7 separate regions of the Mus musculus genome follow, and regions 1, 2, 3, 4, 5 and 6 are each reported to be linked to region 7. Evidence: microRNA targets listed by miRTarBase, many of them from high-throughput screens and not tested one by one. Region 7 holds a microRNA gene; each other region holds the end of a gene's coding sequence.
Evidence for each region. Region 7 holds the annotated microRNA mmu-miR-3470b (UCACUCUGUAGACCAGGCUGG, at 1,464-1,484, opposite strand). A microRNA usually pairs through its seed, bases 2 to 8, with sites in the 3' UTR of a target mRNA and lowers its output. Matches are read on the target gene's strand: a 7mer-m8 pairs with bases 2 to 8, a 7mer-A1 pairs with bases 2 to 7 and ends in A, and an 8mer does both.

Region 1: the mRNA of Dlgap5 is a reported target of mmu-miR-3470b. Seed matches in the 3' UTR shown: 8mer at 767-774.
Region 2: miRTarBase lists Ttc9c as a target of mmu-miR-3470b. Seed matches in the 3' UTR shown: 8mer at 1,946-1,953.
Region 3: miRTarBase lists Glrx2 as a target of mmu-miR-3470b. Seed matches in the 3' UTR shown: 7mer-A1 at 2,275-2,281 and 8mer at 1,383-1,390.
Region 4: miRTarBase lists Kcna4 as a target of mmu-miR-3470b. Seed matches in the 3' UTR shown: 7mer-A1 at 2,521-2,527.
Region 5: miRTarBase lists Elf1 as a target of mmu-miR-3470b. Seed matches in the 3' UTR shown: 8mer at 1,733-1,740.
Region 6: miRTarBase lists Eci1 as a target of mmu-miR-3470b. Seed matches in the 3' UTR shown: 8mer at 323-330.

What each region holds. Positions count from the first base shown.
Region 1 is chr14:47,385,524-47,388,638 of GRCm38, reverse strand. It overlaps Dlgap5 (DLG associated protein 5), which reads left to right. Exons shown (of 19, transcript NM_144553.2): 19 at 516-860. The coding sequence ends at 623. Lgals3 (lectin, galactose binding, soluble 3) reads right to left here. Exons shown (of 6, transcript NM_010705.3): 6 at 2,472-3,114. The coding sequence ends at 2,959. Among named protein-coding and RNA genes, the nearest start is that of Lgals3, 13 kb to the right of the region's middle.
Region 2 is chr19:8,809,260-8,812,374 of GRCm38, forward strand. Ttc9c (tetratricopeptide repeat domain 9C) reads right to left here. Exons shown (of 4, transcript NM_027412.3): 4 at 1-2,579. The coding sequence ends at 2,485. Among named protein-coding and RNA genes, the nearest start is that of Zbtb3, 8.3 kb to the left of the region's middle.
Region 3 is chr1:143,746,434-143,749,433 of GRCm38, reverse strand. It overlaps Glrx2 (glutaredoxin 2 (thioltransferase)), which reads right to left. Exons shown (of 4, transcript NM_001038592.1): 4 at 1-2,926. The coding sequence ends at 2,795. Among named protein-coding and RNA genes, the nearest start is that of Glrx2, 8.4 kb to the right of the region's middle.
Region 4 is chr2:107,296,590-107,299,704 of GRCm38, reverse strand. It overlaps Kcna4 (potassium voltage-gated channel, shaker-related subfamily, member 4), which reads right to left. Exons shown (of 2, transcript NM_021275.4): 2 at 1,201-3,115. The coding sequence ends at 2,818. Among named protein-coding and RNA genes, the nearest start is that of Kcna4, 7.6 kb to the right of the region's middle.
Region 5 is chr14:79,580,226-79,583,323 of GRCm38, reverse strand. It overlaps Elf1 (E74-like factor 1), which reads right to left. Exons shown (of 9, transcript NM_007920.4): 9 at 833-3,098. The coding sequence ends at 2,554. Among named protein-coding and RNA genes, the nearest start is that of Sugt1, 5.9 kb to the left of the region's middle.
Region 6 is chr17:24,438,832-24,441,831 of GRCm38, forward strand. It overlaps Eci1 (enoyl-Coenzyme A delta isomerase 1), which reads left to right. Exons shown (of 7, transcript NM_010023.4): 7 at 118-485. The coding sequence ends at 284. It overlaps Dnase1l2 (deoxyribonuclease 1-like 2), which reads right to left. Exons shown (of 8, transcript NM_025718.3): 7 at 2,665-2,916; 8 at 1,937-2,278. The coding sequence ends at 2,225. Among named protein-coding and RNA genes, the nearest start is that of Dnase1l2, 2.8 kb to the right of the region's middle.
Region 7 is chr16:44,012,254-44,015,368 of GRCm38, reverse strand. It overlaps Mir3470b (microRNA 3470b), which reads right to left and starts at 1,517; the gene lies at 1,392-1,517. Gramd1c (GRAM domain containing 1C) reads left to right here. Exons shown (of 17, transcript NM_001359085.1): 6 at 2,332-2,447.

The sequences.
Region 1 (3,115 bases), not on the chromosome of region 7:
AGTTCGAGGCCAGCCTGGTCTACAGAGTGAGTTCCAGGACAGCCAGAGCTATACAGAGAAACCCTGTCTCGAAAAACCAAAAAGAAAGAGAGAGAGAGAGAGAGAGAAAGAACAACATAAAGCTGTTGCTTCTGCTGCAGCCAGGACGTGGTGGGCGGGGTCTGTCCCCATCGCCATCCTCCTTGGTGGTCTTCACCCTGAAATTCTTTACTCCAGCTGTGCTCTGCTGCGGGTCTTCACTGGGGGCTCAGGAGGTGAGACAGGATTTGTGTGTGTAGCTTTGGGTGTCCTATAACTCACTCTGTAGACCAGGCTGGCAGCTTGAGATCCGCCTGCTATGGTGGTGCACATAAAAAACAAAAATCCTTTACATTAGGTCTTACGCTGTTAATAATTTCATTGTTACATAGGGAAAGTTACTTACTCCTTGGCACTCAGTTAACTAAGGGTGTAAAAAGCTTATTTGGGGCCACACTCGATGGTGGATTCCTTGACTGCTCTGCTGTGTTCTTTAGCCAGGCCTCAGCTGCACCAGCCCCTGCACTCGGGAGGAGACCAGACAGCCAGATCGCAGCAGACAGTTCTCCTTTGGAGGTGACCTCATTCTCTTCTCACCACTATGACCCTGAAGGGAACACCAGGAGGGCTTTAAATTTAACATGACTTTTAATATTAATTTAAATAAACATTCAGTGCTCGCCTTTAATCCCAGCACTCCGGGAGGTAGAGGCAGGCGGATTTCTGAGTTCGAGGCCAGCCTGGTCTACAGAGTGAGTTCCAGGACAGCCAGGACTATACAGAGAAACCCTGTCTCGAAAAACCAAAATAAATAAATAAATAAATAAACAAACAAACAAACATTCTTTTCTTCGCATTGTTAATTCTCTGATAAAGTGAGATAGTTTTGCATCTGCCGGCTCATTTTATAGATTTTCATTTGAGCACCTGTATCTGTTGACATCAGGATAGTTTGGTTTTCCTGTATTCCTTTAGATAAGGTTTCCTGAATCATGAAGTGCACTGATTATAGTTACACTGTTCAATCCTTGCTGCCTCTGGTAATTTCCCCTTTAACAGAGCTAGCTGCCATGGACAAGGATGAAAGAGAGAAGAATCTTTACAAAAAAATCTGGAATTTCAGGATGCTGTGAGCTATTTCACATGGGCGCTGGAAAGCCAGTCCTCTGGAAGAGCAGTGTGTGCACTTGGCTGAGTCGCTACTCCAGCTCTGATTTTATAATCCCTTAGCGTCATGACCGTAAAACACTGCTGATACGGGAAGGAGATGGCTCAGAGAAAGGCACTGTCCTCTGACACCACCTTCATGTTGTGGCATATTTCAGCCCTTCCCCTCCCCCCACGCACATACATACATACATACATACATCATACATTCATACATACAGTAGAACATAAGTGACAACTCAGTGCTACCAACAGCAAACAGTAGCAAAAGCTAACAGCCCTACCCTGTGTTCCCCGTGTTTCCTGTGTTATAATTTGGCCTGAGTGCTTTGGAAGGAGACATTCCACACAGAATAGGAACCTTACAGGTTTAGGGTTAGACATTTTCAAGAGAAAGTTTAGTCTACTTTTGACGTCAGAAGTAGGTGTGTTTGGCTTTGGGGAAAGATGGTGCTTATCATGACACCCAAACAACTTACTGGAAGGTTACTTGAGGAGTTTGCATAGAGGAATGTTCATAAAATGCCCCCCCTTACCAAAACCTGAGGCGGCATGGAACAGCTTGCTAATGGATGACGGAAAGTTATGGGTGGAGAAATTGCCTGGTGGGTAAGGACACCAAACCTGAGAGCAATGCCCGGAACCTACATTCTGGAAGGAGAGACCCAGCTCTCTGTACATTCTTGTCCCATCAGTTGCAATTGCAAGTGCTTGTTCTTACAGACCTCTTGATTTCTGTTTTCCTGGGACGCCAGCTTGTGACATTCACCAGTTTAAACTAATCGAGAAGATAACGTTGTAGAACAAGACTTTTGACCTTTTCCTACTTTGAGCTTACTGATAATAGGAAAGATAGAAAGTGTTAGGTATGAGAATGGACATGAAAACCAAGACACAGTCTTAATGGTGTTGAGTACTCATTTGAAGGCAATAACCTGGGGCTTTACAGGAAAAATGGGTTTAAGACCAGCCTCCACAACAGATAGTTCAGGACTATATACCTGATTGTCCCATAATTGCAGTGATGCTGGTGTGAGCGACCTGCTCCCAGTCGTATAGAGCAGAGTCTGCATGGTACAGAATAATGCTGGAAGACAGTGTGCAGGGTCAGCACTGGCAGCAGCCTCACGTCGTTCTTTCCTGTTCCTGATTGGCCCTTATCTAGGGTTGTGTAAGTGCACCCTTTGATCTTTCCTTGGAATCGCCGAGCAGCGCTAAGCAACACAACTCTCCCCAGATGCCGACGGTAACTGTCTGCTGTTGAGCTGGCGCCATTCAGCGTATTTCCTTTGTAAAAATCAGGATGGTTTATTGATAATTACATAGTTCCCTTTATATAAAACTGCACCAAATCAAAGGGCATATAAAGACAGGCAGCTGGAGGCATCAGTGGACCTGACCTGTCTCAGGAGGATCTGAGACTGGTTCCCAGCAACCTGGTCACACAGCTTACTTACAACCACCTGTAACTCCAGCTCCAGGAGGCCTGGTGCCTCTCAAGTGAGCAGGCACCTGTACCCATGTGCACAGACACACAACACACAAAGTTTAAAAGGCTAGGGATGTGTAGCTCAGTGAGAGAACACTTGCCTAGCAGTCACGAGCAGTCCTAAGATTTGACATCCAGTATCATAAAAACCCCCAAAGCGATGGGTATCTCTCAGCATGAGACTTTATTAAATGGATGTCTTACAAGAAGGATAAGGAGAGAGAAATGCAAAGTTTCCCACTCCTAAGGCACACAGGGCCGGTTTCGGTGCCGCCCCTTCTGGCTTAGATCATGGCGTGGTTAGCGCTGGTGAGGGTTATGTCACCACTGATCCCCAGTTGGCTGATTTCCCGGAGGTTCTTCATCCGATGGTTGTACTGCAGTAGGTGAGCATCGTTGACCGCAACCTTGAAGTGGTCAGCTTCAACCAGGACTTGTATC
Region 2 (3,115 bases), not on the chromosome of region 7:
TAGCAACTAGATTTTACAGCGGGACACAGAGATTGGACCTAATTGACTCCAATTAGACAAGTGGATATTTATAATTGAGGGGTAGTGGTGAGATTTATACTGGAAAATTACTGAGTAGAAACTTAAAAAAAAAAAAGGGGTTCTAACTTAATGTGACAGGACTCACTATGACAAAATTTTGCCAAACCAGTATAGGGATTTTATCCATCTGAGTTTTTAAGACATGATTTTGTTAGGTAAGTCTGGCTAGTCTGGAATTCAGTATATAGCCAGACTGGCCTTATAGTAATCCTTCTGCCTCAGCACTCTTGAGTGCTGAAATCACAGACATATGCTAACTTTAGCAGTTTAAGAAGTCTGCAAGATAAAATATTCTACTTAGTTCTGTCCTTGTATTTTTTTAGGTTTGGTAGAAAAGCTTTTTATCTTGTTGGATATATTATTTAAATTATGGGGAGGAACATAGAAGCACAGAGTATTAGGAGAGTTTTAGGTATTATTAATAAGCTAGTTGGTCCCACCCCAAGAAACATATTTGGTTTTTGATTATATAATGGCTAGCGACACATGCTTATTATCTCTGCTTATAAAGGTGGAGGCCTACTACATGGTCTTAGCTACTAATTGTCAGCCATGACATAAAGAGGATCCAGGGTAAACAGAATGACAGACCAGCCACCAGTAGCTGAATGCCACCGAGGCAAGGCAAGGCAAGACAACCCTAGGTTTGCACCCATGAGTGACACAGCTTCTTCAGGATTCTATCAGGTGCTTCCAACACACTAAACAATAAACATCTTTCCTTGTACTTTCTTTCCTCTGTAAGGTCCTGAGCACCTACAAGACAGAGTGACAGCTGAAGAGGAAACAGGTTCTGTCATGATTTATTAGGGTACACTTTTTTTTAAGGTTTATTATATGTAAGTACACTGTTGCTGTCTTCAGACACTCCAGAAGAGGGAGTCAGATCTCATTAGGGATGGTTGTGAGCCACCAAGTGGTCGCTGCATTTGAACTCAGGACTTTTGGAAGAGCAGTCAGTGCTCTTAACCGCTGAGCCATCTCTCCAGCCCCTACGGTACACTTTCAAGAAGACAAAAGTAATGCCTTTCAGAAAAGTGAACACTTTAGAATGTATCTATGAAATATTCAGACTTGGACAGCCAAAGCTACGCAGAGAAACTTTTTGAAATACAAACCAAATTCTGTGGGACTAGCTGTGTAGCTTGATGACAGGGTGCTTGCCTCGCATGTGCAAGGTGGGTTTAAGCTCCCACACCATACATACACACACACCCAGAGAAAGTGCACCAGCACTTGGGTTCCTTCTTGGCACAAGGTCAGAGAGAAGGTAAAAACAGGGTTTCATGTATCCCAGGCATTCACTCCAGAAGTTTTAAAAAAAGACTAAATTAATGACAAATAAGTTGTACTTTGTCAGTGATCTGAGTGCAAGCAATAGCAAGGACTAGAAATTACCAGGAGGGAACAAAGCAAACCAAAAACCAGAAAGGGGAATTAAACCCAGGGTTTTCCCACAGAGCTGTTATCTCCAGCCCTTTAATTCTGAGACAAGATCTGACTGACCTTGAATTTGTGATTGTCATGGTTTAGACTCCAAAGTGCTGGGATTGCAGGCATCTACCACCAAGTCTGCCTAGAAAGAAGATACTTTTATGGAGGAAAATAATCTGAATGTCTCTGAAATATTAAAGGAGTATAAGAAATTAATTTAAATAACAGTTTGATTCATTTCTTGTTATTTCGTTGGTTGGTTTTGTAGCACTGGGGAATTAAACCCAGGGCCTTATTCGTGCTAGGCGAGCACTCTACCACTGAGCTACAGCCTTAGCCCTAAAATGATTAATTTCAAATCTTTTTTTGTTTGTTTGTTTTTGGTTTTTCCAGACAGGGTTTCTCTGTGTAGCCCTGGCTGTCCTGGAACTCACTCTGTAGACCAGACTAGCCTCAAACTCAGAAATCTGCCTGACTCCCCCAAGTGCTGGGACTAAACGTGTGCGCCACCACACCCAGCTAATTTCAAATCTTTAATGTAAATATACTTGGGCTCAATTTATAATTAAAAGAAAAAAAAATCCCACTAAGCAAAACAAAAGCATCTGAAGATACTACAGAAGATTCCTGTTTGCCTGTCCTTACTCTCTCACCCTTCACCGGCCCTCTCCTCTGTGTCTGAGAACATTTAATAACACCCCATTAAATCTATGCCACAAATACAGTTGATTCCACCCACAGTCGATGAATGTTCTCAGATTGTAAGCCATACAAATACACTAGGGGACAGACAATAAACGATGCAGATGGTCTAAGGAGCAAAGAACTTGTGCAGAACAGGAAACAAAATGGAAATCCACCTGGGTCAGAGGTAAAGGGTGAACTCCTTTTGCTGAGTGAGGCTCAGATTCCCCAATGGGCCTTTGCTTGTCCACTTGAGTTCAAGTTGAGAAATGTCTCTTTTCTTCATTAACCAAACATGCCCAGGTACAGCTGTTTCTCCTTCCTATGGTAGCTGCTGAGTTCTGACTGCGTCAACTGGAGGTACCGCCGAACATTGGCATCTTCAAAGACAATAGAGGTTTACAGACAGACCATAATGACACAAATGGACCACAGAGCATTGTTAACACTCCTAGTTATTTTAGTTCTCCAAACTCTGAATGTATCACAACTATTCCATATAATAGTAAATTCTATTATTTATTTATTTATTTATTTATTTATTTATTTATTTGGAGACAGGGTTTCTCTGTGTAGCCCTGGCTGTCCTGGAACTCACTTTGTAGACCAGGCTGGCCTTGAACTCAGAAATCCACCAGCCTCTGCCTCCCAAGTGCTGGGATTAAAGGCGTGCGCCACCACTGCCCAGCGTAAATTCTATTTTTAATGCCACTATGAGTTATTATTATTAAGAGACTGACTTTGAATTTGATCTATATCTGAAAATGGCCTTGAACACCCGATTCTTTTGCTTCTACCACCAAACCCAGCTTAAAATTAAACAAGGGGCTGGAGAGATGGCAGAGGCAGGTGCATGCTTTTAATCACAGCACTCAGAAGGCAGAGGCAGGCAGATCTCTGTAAGTTTGAAGTCCAC
Region 3 (3,000 bases), not on the chromosome of region 7:
TTCTTGAGCCTTCTGACGATAAGGATTTTTTAAGAGCTGGGTTATTTTAACATCTGACCCTAACCAAGAATTATGTACCACACATCCTCTTGTTTCCCACAAGCCTAGGAAGAACTGATAAAACATTCTTAAGAATTAGTTGTATAGCTAAGTGGTATATTAGCCCAGTGGATATTAGCCCAGAAGCTCAGAATACCCAAGATACAATTCACAAAACACATGAAACTCAAGAAGAAGGAACACCAAAGTGTGGATACTTTGATCCTTCTTAGAAGGGAAAACAAAATACCCATGGAAGGAGTTACAGAGATAAAGCATGGAGCAGAAACTGAACAAATGACCATCCAGAGACTGCCCCACCTGGAGATCCATCCCATTAACAATCACCAAACCCGACACTATTGCAGATGCCAACAAGAGCATGCTGACAGGAGCCTGATATAGCTGTCTCCTGACAGGCTCTGCCAGTGCCTGACAAATACAGAAGTGGATGCTCATAGCCATCCATTGGACAGAGCACAGGGTCCCCAATGAAGTAGCTAGAGAAAGGACCCAAGGAGCTGAAGGAGTTTGCAAGCCCCATAGAAGGAACAAAAATATGAACAAACCAGTACCCCCAGAGCTCCCAGGGACTAAACCACCAACCAAAAAAAACACATGGTGGGACTCATGGCTCGAGCTTCGTATGTAGCAGAGGATGGCCTAGTTGGTCATCAATGGGAGGAGAGGCCCTTGGTCCTGTGAAGGTTCTATGCCCCGGTATAGGGGAATGCCAGGGCCAGGAATGGGAGTGGGTGAGTTGGGGGGAATGGGAGGGGATACGGAATTTTCAGAGGGGAAACTAGGAAAGGGGATAACATTTGAAATGTAAATAAAGAAAATATCTAATTAAAAAAGTCTAATGTAAAAAAAAAAAAAAAGAAAAAGTTTTATAAGTCAGTGGCACCTGCACACCTGCCTGCTATTCAAGCCCTGGGTCTGAGGCTGAATACCACAAAAAAAGCTCCTCAAAGCCAAGGCCATATTATTACGTGGTTGGTGTAGCTGTGCATTTAAGTAACCTGCCTTTGACCTTACATCCTAATAAGATTACTAGTGACAACAGAAACAGTGACACCTTTCCCATACATAATGTGAGTTTTAGAGCATAGTAAAATTATATAATTTCTCATGATATAGTGTAAAATAAAGGAATAAAAATACACCATGTTCCTTTCCTACCAACATGACAGCTTAAATCAGGAGAGCTGTCTTAACTTCTATGTCAAGTTATCCAAAATGCAGTTGAAGTCCACGTAGGAAACATCTCTGACAGCAAGCCACTGTCTCCCTCCAAACTCTGCATGAGTCCCTAGTCTATCTTGACCAGAAAGCTGAAGCACTCACTCTGGGAAGTCCATGTTCTTCCTACCTGAGAAAGGCTCAGCATTTGATAACATTTCCAACGTGACTCTGAGAATCTGCTAGGAAATGCATCATTTCTTAAGCACTTAAAATATTCTTGACCAGAGGCGGAAACCATGACCAGACTAGCAAAGCATTGGAAATGTTTTCAGTTCTTTTAAATATTACTTCTTAAAGGTTAATTCTGTTTGCTAAGTTTATCTGAAATGAAGTCAATTTGAACAGTGTCTTCCTAGTTAGAGAATAGTAAGATAACAGAAGTGATTTTAGGGACGCTCCATCTGTGGGACTCAGACAGACTACCTGAGACTGAGTACTTTATGAAGAAGAGATGGACTTTCTCTAGGTCATCGGTCGGGAAGGTGAGGTTATCTAGTGAGGATTTCCTTGCTGTATCAGGACACTGCAGAGGAAGAAGAGGAAGAGCAAAGACGGGAGAGGTAAGGGGACAAACTCATCCTTTTATCAAGAACCACTCTAATAGAGCACGGACCCATCTGCCCTCAGGATTAAGTACTTTGTAAAGGCCTCACCTCGCGTACCATATCAGGTTATGTCATGTGTTTCCAACACATGATGTCTGTGGTGGGGCACGTTCGGACTATAACAAGGACCGTTAGTCTAAACTCTAATTCCTGTTTCTCTTAAGCATTCTCAAGCTGGGTGTGGTAGCTCAGCATATAATCCAAGCCTGGAAACAGGTAGGAGGACTGACTTTTGCGTTTGTGGCCATTCTGAGCTACAGAGTGACCCTGTCTCCAAAAGGAAAAAAAAAAAAAATTCCAGTAGCTGATACACATTCTGAAAGGTAGAATGTCCAACTGGCAACAGAACTAAATAACATTTCTGAACTGTTTGAAAAGCCCACTCTCACTCTATTGAAACCTTTTGCTTTCTGACCATGAAGTCATTAGCAGCTTGATGCCCCAACTAGAAACTTCATCGAATTCTACATATTTAGTATGTTTGGTGGTCTAGAACATAAAGGGTTGTCATGATATGGTATCCCAACCCACTGCACATCTGTACCACATTAAATTTTAAGGAAGCCACATGTCAGTCCTCAGCCCTGACAGCTAGTGAACGTGAGAAGTTAATTCCTGAATGCCATGGGGAGCAAGAGTTTAAGTGCGTACTCCCTCTTTGCTGTAAGATTCTTAAATTCTTAATAAACATTCTTTACTTTTGATGTAACTCCACCTCCTTTAGTTTTTTTATACCATCTCATGCTCAAAAACTGGCCAATCGGGAGATGAAGGGTCCAGGGCAATTTATTGTTCATTATTCTGAATCATCTTTATGAAGGCAATCCACACACTGAAAACAGCCTCAAGTCAAAGGTACGACTGCACTAACTAGCATTTACTGGTATGGCGACTATCCACATCATTCAATGTCTTTCCTCTTGTTTTTTTTTTAAATAACACTGATGAACCAGAGGCAGCAATTTCCCTTCTTTGTGAAGCCTGTGAGTGTCCGCTGCGCCTCCAATAAATCGTCCATTGACAAATATCCTGGGAACCTGTTGAAGAAGGAAAAGATAAATAAGGCCTAACCATCGGTGTCAGAACTGGTCCAGTTTTGGAGGGAAGTGAG
Region 4 (3,115 bases), not on the chromosome of region 7:
GCCATTTGCAAGAAAGAAGAATGTATCTAATGACATCTGAAAAGGACCTCTGTCCTCAAGCATCCTGATTTTGAATAGGGATCACTTTCTTTTTTTCTTCCCTGTATGGTGAACCTGTATGTATTTCAAACCTACTTATTGGCATCTAAGAAAATACAGTTTCCTAAATCAGTTTATACAGCAGCATTTTCCCCAGTAGGAAATCTTCACAAAGGGTTCCAAAGTACTTTGAATAGCTTCAACTTGGGAATTGACTGTTAACTCAAAGCTGTACTGGACACCCAACTTTCACATGAACAAGTACTTCATGCAGAAATGCCCAAACTCAAGGCAAGGGGGCTTTGAAGTTTCTTCTCAATGTAGAATCAATAGACACACTCTAAGATAAATGCATTTTGCATAGAGGAAAACACACTTTGAATGACATTCTAATAATATTTGGAATGAAAGCACATGACTAGGAATTCCAGCAGTTTCCAAACAAACAAGCAACAACAAACCACTCTGTGAGTTCAGGGAAGCCCTGGGACTCTTAATTGTTTGTAACTAATGTAGTCTGAGAATTATTAATACCTATATCATCAAATAAATTTAATACAACTTTTCTGATTTAGGAAGGAAATGTCAACGAAACAAAGAGCAAAGAAATTCAGAATGATTTTTCCTCCTGATCACAAACAATTACTGTTATTTTCACAAAATACTAAATAAATGGGCTGTACTGGAGAAATTATCATATCAGGTATTTGCATGAAACTGGACATTTCAGGTTCCCAAGCTTCCCTCTTACTGTTTCCCTATTCCTCTAATTTAAAATGATTTTCTACTCATAAAAAAAATGGGGTGTAAACACGTTTCAGTGAGTATTGTGAAGGGATTATGGCCATGCCTGTCAGACTCTCACTACACTTTTCTCAATACAATGTATTAGAATCAGAATATTATCTCTGGAGTCCTAATCACAAGGTGGCACCAAGTTCTTCAAGCACCTCCACTGCTTGCTGCCTTTCCATCTCCAGATGGAGTTCTAGCAAAGTGTAGAGAAAAGACAGGAACAAAGATATTGATTTACTAGAATTCTTTTCATTTCAAATACTGTTAAAGGAGAGGTAAAATGTATCCAGTGATTTCCTGGACCAAAAGCATTTGAAAAATCTGACAAGAAAGGGTGAGCGGGTGTTTCTTTTTTTGTTTGTTTTTGTTCACGTTTGCTATGGACTGAAATAGTGGACATGGGATTTCTTCCCAATGCTCAGGGCAACCATTTATAAAGAAGATTTTGTTTTGTTTTAATGAATTGTTTAGTAATGCCTCCTATGTGTTTATACTGAGTGTTCTGAGCTGTATTTTATGGTGCTACAGTTGTTCGTGGTGCATTCCTTGTTCCTACTCCAAACTCAAGAATAGCTATTGTGAGGTAAATGGAAGTATAATCCTCAGGAAGCCCCTGTGATAAAGATGATAATGATTTACAATGACCATTGGGAAACCAAATGCTCTAAAACCATTCTTCCCTAACTCTGATTTAGCAGAGTGCTTTAGCATTTGAGGCGAATCCCCACATTTCGTGTTCTGTTTTGTTTTTGCAGCTGCACACACAGACACACACAGACACACACACACATACACAAAAGGGACTTAAATCTAGCATTTTGTTGCATATTTAATAAAAAGATCTTAAGCCATAATTGCTGTAGCTGCTGGGTGCCTTATTTCTCCAAGAATTCTCTCTGTGCATGCAATAACTTTGGTTAAATTATTCTGGACTTAAAAGGCAGAAGAGTATTGAAAATAGTATGGTTTCTGAAGCATCATCGTAACAAACCAATTTCAAAAGATTCGGCTGCTGAACGTTACTTCATAGTCCCTTTGTAGATGAGTTGTTCGGATTTTAAAGCAGGAATCATGTGCTGTTATTTGTGTGGCCATTAGTCTCACGAAAGGAAGAGAACAATAAATGAGACGAAGAACCCATTCTTCCAATGATTGTCATTGAACTGATTGGTGCATTAGTAAACATTCATAGTATGAAGTCTCTCTCGGGCTTCGGCATAGAAAGTAGTGCAAAAGAAAAAAAAATCCAGTTTTAAGACCTGTGAACAAAACTTGTTACATTTCCTCCAGAATGTTAGGCATTTGCTATTATATCTCCCCAAAATTAATAATAAAATATAATCAATTTCTAAAGGCCCCTGCAGCCTTTTCAAAAGTTAATTTCCAGTTAAAAATAAACTTTAATTAAATCCAAGATTAAATTGTGACCTATATTCTATTAAATAATTTACTTTCTCTTTTTTCTACACAGTAATTCTTATAATTTCTAAAAAACAACTACAGAATCCAAAGACATAGGAGATGTTATTAAAACACTGGTAAAAGACTGCTCAAATTCATTAGTTCTTACATAGTAAATACTTCAGAATGCCAACTTTTTCCATCACGGCACAATTCCCAACAGTGTTGACAATTTACTTACATACCCAGGTACACACACTCTCTCGCTCTCTCACACACACACACTCACTCTCCTCAGAACCACCTTTACTATTAACATTTTTCCCATTATGTGCAAAATTCTTGCATTCTATTAAAAAATATAAAGATAGATCTGCTGTTTTTAATGCCTCCCTCTTCTCCAAGATGTATCATTTATTTGATATGCAATACACGTTTAGTCACAATTATGCCATGTATTACCATTAAACAGCATATTACTGTATGCAGTGCAATCGTTTGCATATCTCATTTTCATAACTGCATTCTCTATGTATGAATATATTTGGAGATGGGGGGACAGTGGCAGGTGGAGAGAACAATTCACACATCAGTCTCCACAGCCTTTGCATTAGAACAGTTGTTTTTATCTGTCTCGCTCTCATCTCCCTTTCCCTGACACTTCTCCTCCTTTCCACATAATGATTCCTTGACCCCTTCTTCCATCTCTAGATACTCTGACTTGTCCCCCAGGGAAGAAGAAGTGGAGCTCCGAAATTTCTTGAGCAAATTAGAAGGTAGGTATGGACAACTGACTGCGTTTTGTGTCAGCTGGGTCTGTTCTTCATTTTCAGTCTCTCTGTGGTAGAAATAGTTAAAGTTAGACACAATCACCGGCACA
Region 5 (3,098 bases), not on the chromosome of region 7:
ACCCAGAGGTGCACAGTGAGAGAGACTTTGTATCAACACAAATGCACATGCACACATACTCACAAATGGGTACGAATATGTGAAAAATGACTAAGTTTACCAATAAGAGAGTAGGGACATGCCATGGTACTGAGATTTTTGTTTTCTTGAATTTTTCTTTTTCCAAGTTTAGCAATTACTAAGAAAGCCTGTTTTAGAGCTGGGGATATGGCTCAGTGAGAGTAACCACTTACTATGTAAGCCCCACGGCCTGAATCCGGATCCCTAGGACCCAGGAAGTGCTGAAAGCAGCAGCCCAGGGCCTAGAGGACCCACCTCAGACAGGATACAGGACCCACAGCCAGTGCTATGCTCTCTTCTCTACTGTGTTCCTGCATGTATATTCAGACATTTAAAAGCTGACTTAGAGCCACAGCTACTATACCACAAGTTTATTTTCTCTTTGGCTTTCTAAGACAGAGTCTCATTTACACAGAAACTCATTTCAGTATGTGTGTGTTCTTGGAGCAGTATTTACCAGAGAGTAACAAGACTATGCAAGCCTTAAAGTCTGAAGTTGACCCTCGAAACCAATGGTGGAAGAAAAGAGCCAGCTCCCAAATGTTGTTGTGTGTCCCCTCAGGCATGCACATGCATGTGCACACAGTATAAGAACATGTTGTGTGTCCCCTCAGGCATGCACATGCATGTGCACACAGTATAAGAACATGGCCAGGTATGGTTGATGCATGTGCCTTTTACTCAAGAGTCTGAGGCACGATAATCACTAGTTCTAGGACAGCACAGTGTGTCTTGTGTCAAAAAGCAAAAGAATTACAAACAAGAAATATTTGCTTGAAAACAGAAATATTGAGAACTTTTACATGATTTAATAATAACAATTAAAGATACAAAAATGTTTAGAGGATTCCAAAATTTAAATTTTTGTTTAAATACAAATTCATTTCATAATATGAAAACATATAATATTATACCCCTAAACACAATAATTTTTCTTCTACAAAACTTTCTATACTAGAGAATTTGCAGAAAACAATTTCTTGTGACATTAAATATACATTATTTACATTGAAAAAGTAATCTAAAAACTCTACTTCGGAAACTTGGATATATATCTTTGTATGCAACTTCCCCTCCCCTTCACCCACAGTAAAAAATGATCCAAATAAAAAACAGTTATGCTTTTATAATAAGTGACACAGCTATACTAGCTCAGGACTCCCATTGCTTCTTTGGCCCTCAGAGCCCTGATGCTCTTAGAATAGCAGTCTCTCATTTAGCCCTCAGCTTACTACTAAGCCACAGTTTTAGTAACTGTGGTCTGAAGATTAATGAGCAGAGAACTTAGGAAGAATTTATGGCAGACCTGATAGTAATTTTGTGAGGAAAATATTTTTAAGCAGTATTTTACCTTTACATAAGGAGATAATCTGGTAATATTTGAAATAATTTTAAAGTACAGATAATAAAATCCTAAAATTTATAATAAGGAAACTTTTAGATCATTTTGTCTAGTCCAATGCATCCCTTCATTTTACCAGAATAGCACAGACTAGCAGGTGAAATGTCCTGTCCAGGGTTACACACCTAGGAGATGGAGTGGCCTACCCAGGGTTACACACCTAGCTAGTGGAAGTGTCACAAGTGTTGCCTTTATAATATCACATTTCTTTTTTTATTTGTTTGTTTGTTTTGAGACAGGGTTTCTGTATAGCCCTGGCTGTCCTGGAACTCACTCTGTAGACCAGGCTGGCCTCAAACTCAGAAATTCACCTGCGTCTGCCTCCCAAGTGCTGGGATTAAAGGCGTGTGCCACCACGCCCGGCTACATCACATTTCTTAAACTCAGGTTCAGACATTATCATAGGCACACTTAAATATTTTTGTTGTTGTTTTGGATTTTTTTGGGAAGGTTACATGTAGCCCAGGCTGGCTTCAAACTCACTATATAGCTAAGGCTGGCCTTGAACTCCTGATTGCCCTTTGTCCTCCTCCCAGTGCTGGAATTACACATATATGCCAATATACTGAGCATATACACTTCAATTTATAATGATAGTTTACAAATTCGTAGTATATTCATAGTATAACAGTCCAGCCAACTTTAAAGTCAAGCTAAGTGACATCGCAACAATTTTAATAGTATAAGTTTCTTGCATCTGAAAGAGCTAAGACTTAAATTATACAAGTGGAATGAAAATGTTTCCTATATAAATTTCCTGTTGTCTTATATTTAAGTAGTATTTTCAAACAATTCAGGAAGCTAGTACAGTGTCAAGCTAGAAAAGAAACTTTTAAAATATGATATAGCAACTGAAAAACAGTCAAGAATTTCTTCATCGTCTAAACCTCCTGCTCCTTCACAACTGAGTTCTGAGACATTCAGAGGAGACACACACTTGGGTTCGCCTCCTTATCTAGCAAAGTCAAAAGTAACTTTTTAACAGTTAAGAACTTCTGTGGATTTCATCTTAGAAAAAAATCATGTTATGGTCAGACAACCGAAAAATGAGTTCAATTAAAAAAATACCCACCCATAATTCCTTTGGTGTATTAAAAAGAGTTGGGCTCTAGCAGTTCATTCTGTTTGACGGCTACCTGAGAGGAAAACCCGTTTGAACTGGATAACACCATCACATAAGGCTGGGGCTGCTGGGCACTTTTCTCAGCATCTTCATTCAAATCATCTTCGGCCTTTTTCTCCACCTCTTGCTTAAGAGTTTTTGTTTCCTGAGCTTTGATAACAGAAGTGATCACAGTGCCCGGTGGGTGTGCGACCAGCTGTGAACTCCGAGAGAAAGTCACCACAGGTGTCGTCGCGCTGAACGATGGTGCGGATGCCACACTGCCCGCTCCATTGCAAATGGACTGAACATTGCTTGTGAGGACCTGCTGTACTTGGGTGGGGCTGAGGACAATTGAAGGAGAGCCTGGCTTCTGTGACTGTAGCATGACATTTTCTTTCAGTACTGTCATGGGCTGTGACGATGGAATGGTTTGTAAAATGAATTTCTGAGACCCAGCACCTGATGATGGGTCTATGCTGGCTATAACCGTTGTGAGTGGCACTGTTACTGTATGTAACTGTTGGTTGCCAG
Region 6 (3,000 bases), not on the chromosome of region 7:
TTTTCCCAACTCTAGGAGAGTTTATATTTCAGTACTTGAGGACTCAAGTGTAGAGGAGCCGGGAACGGCCCCCCACACTGCACAGGTGAGTTTCATAAGTAACCCTGTTTTCTTCAGACCATTCTCGGCAGCTGACAAAGAACATGATGCGAAAGGCCACCGCAGACAACCTGATCAAGCAGCGAGAGGCTGACATCCAGAATTTCACCAGTTTCATCTCCAAAGACTCCATCCAGAAGTCCCTACACATGTACTTGGAAAAGCTCAAGCAAAAGAAGGGCTAACCTAGGTGGACTTCTGAGTTCGAGGCCAGCCTGGTCTACAGAGTGAGTTCCAGGACAGCCAGGGGTATACAGAGAAACCCTGTTTTGAAAAAAAATAATAAAAAAATAAAAATAAGGGCTAACCTACAGCTGCCACATATGTGCCTTCTAGGGACCCACTGGTCCCAAAGATTATATATAAACAAGGTATTCTTCAACTTCAAAACTCTCTTAGCTCTTGTGTTCCTAACCTTAAAATGTCCTGTTTCAGGAATGGAGAAATAGGTCAGTGATTAAGAACACTAGCTGCTGTTGTAGAGGATGCAGGTTCAAATCCCAGCACCCACGTGGTAACTGCAGTTCCAAGGTATCCGATGCCCCCTCTGGCCTCCAAAAGCACTTCATATGAAGCATGTGGTGCATACACACATACATGCAAATATACATACATGTGTATGTACATATACAGTGAGTGTGTGTGTGTGTGTGTGTGTGTTCTAACAGTCCCACTAGCTGGGTGGGGTAGGTCTGTCATTACAGTGCTTCCCATGCTATGGTGAGAACTTGAAACAAAGCAGGACAAGGTGGATGCGCTTGACCCCAGTGCCGGGGGTGGGGGTGGGGGTGGGGGCAGGAACAGGCGGATCTCTGAGGCTCTGGCCGGCCAGCCAGCAAGTGCCAGTGAGACACCTCCTCTCGAAACAAGGTAGAAACTTGCTGGGCCTCTGGCTTATCCAAGTGTACGTGTGCATACAGAGGCTGTCCCTCGAAGCATGGGGCCCTATGGCTGCAACTGCAAGTGCCTTTCTGCCTCAGCCCAGTGCTGCTTATTCAGTGGTAAGGTCCTGAATCTTAGATTAGATTTTATGCAATCCAGATAGGCTTGCACTAAATCCTTGATTCAGTTCCCAGAAATGCCAACACAAACGACAAAACTTTTCTAATCCACCGCAAGGTTTTTTTCCCATGTAATTCATGCCTTTTCTCCAATCTCACTAAAGAGGTTTTATTGACCTTGGGCCTCCATAGTAGCACGTATGCATGTGTGCGTGCATGTGCATGTACACGTGCACACACACACACGACAAGTTTTAACAACTAGAAGCCTTATGAGAGCCTTGTGTCTACAGAGCTATTTCCTGCTCCTAAAGTGATGGCCCACCTGAGCATAAAATCTCCATCCTGCCGAGGCCTCGCCCAGCCCAAAGTTTTAAAGCTACTCCATGAGGCACCTTTGAACAGCTTGGCCTAAGCAGAGTGCAGGCTGGGTAGGACTCCGTGCCCAGCAGTTGCCTTTGCTGTAGGTTCCTTTTCAGAAGGTGGCAGAAGAGCTCACTAACGGGGTAGGTGTAGCCGCCATCGCTGCCGGCAGTGCTACGTGAGGCCTTAGGATCCCTGGGGCAGAATGATCAGGGCCTGCTCTCAAATCCAGCAGGGTCCAGAAAGACATTACCATCTGAGCTGCCACTGGGTGACTGGGTGATGATTCATACGAGCATTTCAAGTTCGCACAAAGGCAATAAGGATAGGGAGCTGGCATGGTGTGGAGGAGCCAGCATCCTCCAGGCTGGGAAGTGAACAACAACAATGGAAATAGACCTACTGGACAGTAAGACCAGGCTCTGCAGCCTCGGTACAGAGGTCTCAGAAAGCAGAGGCCCCATCCAACCTGTGGGTAGTCCTGGCCAAGAGCGGCTTGTTTATTAAGCATGCAGCTATGTGCCTGGCGCTGCTCGGTTCTCCTCACAGCAGCCCGATGAGGTAGGTGATGTTAGTTCACCTTGCAGATGAGGAAATGGGAGCTTTAAGGAGTCCTGTAAATGTGTTCACAGCCATTGTCCACACCAGCTGGTCCGACCCTGTGTCCTCAGTGGGTGGGTGGCCTGCCACCTGAATGATTCACTGTGGTGCCAGTCCTTGTGGTAATAGTCTGCAGGTGGCATATCCTGAGGCCTTGGCTCTCAGTGAGTCTTGAAAGTCACTTCCACAGGAAAATGGTCACTGATGGCAAGAGCCTGGAAGGAGAGGGGTTGGGGGAGTCTCAGCGGTTCAGCAGGGCAGCGTTTTCTCTAGCTGCCCCCTCCCCCCAAACATACACACACATACACACACACACACACACACACACACACCACCACCACCACCACCACCACCACCACCACCACCAAGAAGGCAGTGAAGGCTTGGTAGCCATTCTTGGGCCTCATACTGCCTCCATGTGGCAGAGAACAGAAGTGTGCCAACAGTCCCTTCCTGGGGGCTTGGCACTCTAAGGACCCTTGGCGATAATTGCTTTTGCTAGAGCAAGCATCAGTGTAAACTCCCAGCAGGTGAGCATTTCTGTGAGCCCTCTCCTGAGGGGGCTGACTAGTATGTCTGCTGGAGCCCTGTCCACACTCACCTGGGTCTGATCTAGGTCAAATTCCTCCTGAAAGTTGTGAACTGAGGCTGAGTGGGGCTTCAGGCTCCTGCGCAGATGGGCGCCACTCACTACAATCCGGTCATAGGCACAGTCTGAGTTGCCCACTGTGGTGTCCGCACTGTCTGGGATGAGCCATTTAAACACCTCACTGCTTCGAAGGCGGATCGATGGCCAGTCATGCGCCTTCACGTACTTGCAATCGGCATTAAAGTCACCCAGAAACAGCATGTCCTGTAGGCAAGCACAGCCAGTACATCTTAGCAGTGCTCAGTAGTCCAGACCTCTGAGAACACTTGTGGTCTGGGACGTGAGTTG
Region 7 (3,115 bases):
GTTGTAGGAAATAGAGAGCATCGCAGAGTTTGTTTTCTAGATGTGTGATTTTTCAGTTAGAGTTCTCCAACCTGGGATTTCTACTCCGCGTTCACATAATCAGCTGGAAGCAAAGAGGCATGTTTTTCTTAGCTTGCCTCCTTTATTGCAGGTTTTTGAATATTTTTGACATTTTTGAAGTGTAGATAATGACATCTGAATTGTCATCAGCTGGTTTTGTGGTCATCTTGGCAAACTGGGATATAGCTGCCGCAAGTCCAGACCATTTTCCTTTTAAGCTCCCTGGTTCCATGAAGTGTAAGGAGAGTCATCTAGTAAAAACCAGGACACAGAGCTGCTCCTGGGAGGAGGGAAAGGCGGTGGTGGTTGTTGTAGGGGCTGAACACCGGGGCTGAATTCAGGGCCTTTATACATTTGGCCCCATTATATATTTTTACATTCAACCTCTTAACTTTGAAACATTTCTCTGATTGGGCTAGGAGATGACTTACTTGCTAGCTTCATAACTAATGTTACTTCTGTCCATCTCTGCCCTCCCTATGGGTTGGTCGTCTTCTCTCCATCTCTTCTAGTTTTTCTTCACGAATCCGTCTGTCCTCTAGCTTACCCAGAAGCCTATCTCCTCGGTGGAGCCTCATCTGGCCACCTTGGTCCTCAATAATATTAACTCCTTTTGCACTTCCCTATCCCATAGACTCTTCCAGCCCATTAGCACATGATCATGTGCATCTGATTTAAGAGTGCCCTGTATCCTTCAGACATGAGTACTAAATTCGGAGATTGTTTTTATACCCTTTGGATCTAGAGCGGTGCCACAGGTTTCATTCCCAATAAAGACCTGTGGAATGGATGGAAGATCGTATTGACAGTTGCTTCAAGTACCATGCTGTCTCTCTCTCTTGTCTTGCTTAATCATGTAATTAATTGCAATGTTCCCGGAGACCAGTCTGTTACTATGATATGATGTTATTTTCCCAAATAGTTTACAGCTTGCTTTATTTGGTGATTAAGGTTTTTTTTTTTTTAAGTGGGTCGGTGTGTGTGTGTGATGCCCATGGAATCCCGAAGGGTGTGTCAGTTGGAGTTACAGATTTACAGATGTTTGTGACTTGCCTCATGTGGGAGCTAGGATGTGGCCACTGGTCCTTTGGTGGAGCAGCAAGCACTCTTAACCACGGGTACATTTCTCGGCTGTACTTGGTAACTTTACCACTGACATGCTGTCTATAAAGGAAGCAAGCTAGAATTTACTAAAAGTAAATTAGTATTCTGAAGGTTGTTTTCTTGCATTTTATATTTTAGGAAAATGTAATTTGGAGCTCATTGGTGTGCAAAGTTCTAAAAATGCTTAAAATATTCAGATACAATCGTGAATTAGAAGTTTTGGTTCTCGGGCATTGGTAGCGCATGCCTTTAGTCCCAGCACTCGGGAGGCAGAGGCAGGTGAATTTTTGAGTTCAAGGCCAGCCTGGTCTACAGAGTGAGTGCCAGGACAGCCAAGGCTACACAGAGAATCCCTGTCTCGGAAAAAAAAAAAAATTTGGTTCTGAGTTAACATTTAGGACAACTCTGAATTGTGATCATAGGTTGTATGGATTTCAGATCAGTAATTAGCAGAAATGATAAGTAACTTACTTTTATAGAAAAAAAATCACTTTAAGCATCTTTACTGAAGTGTACTTCTGCACAGTAGCCTCTTTAATACACACTTTGAAAACCCACCATTTTCTAAGTGGAATGTGCCTTTTAGTTTCAACTTCTTTGGAGAATAGCTCAAGCCCAAGATCGGCCTTGAGAATGTGGTTAAACCCTGTGAGAAACGATTATCTGTTTATCGATTTAACTCTTGGTTTAATTATTTATTCTTACATTTTTGCCTACATATAGGTCTGTGCACCACTCGTGCGCCTGAGATGGCCAGAAGATCCCCTGGAACTGGAGTCATAGGTGGTTGTGAGCCACCATGCAGGTGCTGGGAATCAAACCCAGGTCCTCTAGAAGAGCAGCCAGTGCTCTTATCCATGGGACTTCCTCTTGAATGTCTCTTATCAAATGGGCATATTTAACCTTTCCTTTTCAGCGATGGGGATGGAGCTCTGCAGAGCCTTGTGGATGATATGCAGTTCTCAACCACTAAGCTATTATGCCCAGCTCCCATTAACCCTTTTTTTTAAAAATAGAAAATAGGGAGACAAATAGGCCAGGATCTATCCGAGCCACACCTTGACTGCTCACACCACGGCTCCTCTGACTTTGGCCTTTGTGCTTTGAATTACAGTTACGTTATCTGTTGCATTTTCCAATAGTCACGCAATGTTTCTGTCATCTTAGAGCCTGACCAGACAGGAGTTCTGGCAACTGCTCCAGCAGAACTATGGCACGGAGCTAGGCTTAAACGCTGAAGAAATGGAACACTTGTTATCAGTTGAAGAAAATGTGCAGCCAAGGTACAGTGAAGCAACGTAGAGTGTCAAGGTGCATTATGGCCCATCACAGTGGGATCATTGTAGGTCGTTTCAGTTCTGAATTTCTTTGAACTCATCGTTTGGTGCGGTTTGCCCTCTTGTTGGTAGAGTGCAAGTTGGGAGAGAAGAGACTCATTTGCTAAGTTGGTAAGCACGTGTGGGACGTGAAGAAATGTTAGAGATGAGGCTATGACTCTTAGAATTTACTACTAGAAAGCCTTTTTATTAAGGATCTGGAGCAGGGGCTGGTGAGATCTCACAGGAGACACTAGAGCAATTTGAGGGTTAGGGTGGTTTCATGACTTTTCCTCAAAGTCTCCCTAGCACCGTGGCATGTGTCCCACATTCAGTAGACACCGATCACCTTAGTCAAAGGAGCTGACCGTGCCGTGGGGGATGCAAGCAATGGTAATGTCAGGGTCATGTGCTGCTATAGTGTGATAAAGAAATTAGTAGAGAGATTATTTGGACAGCTGTTCATTAAGAAGTGTGAATATTTTACTAACTCTCCAAGTTAAAAAAAAATGTACCTTATCAATGTTAATTGAGACCATAGCCTCAATAAACAAAGATAATACATTAAAATTCTGTAGCATTTTACATTAGGCTAAATGAGAGAAGCCAAGATCCAAGGACCATTTGCCTTTTTG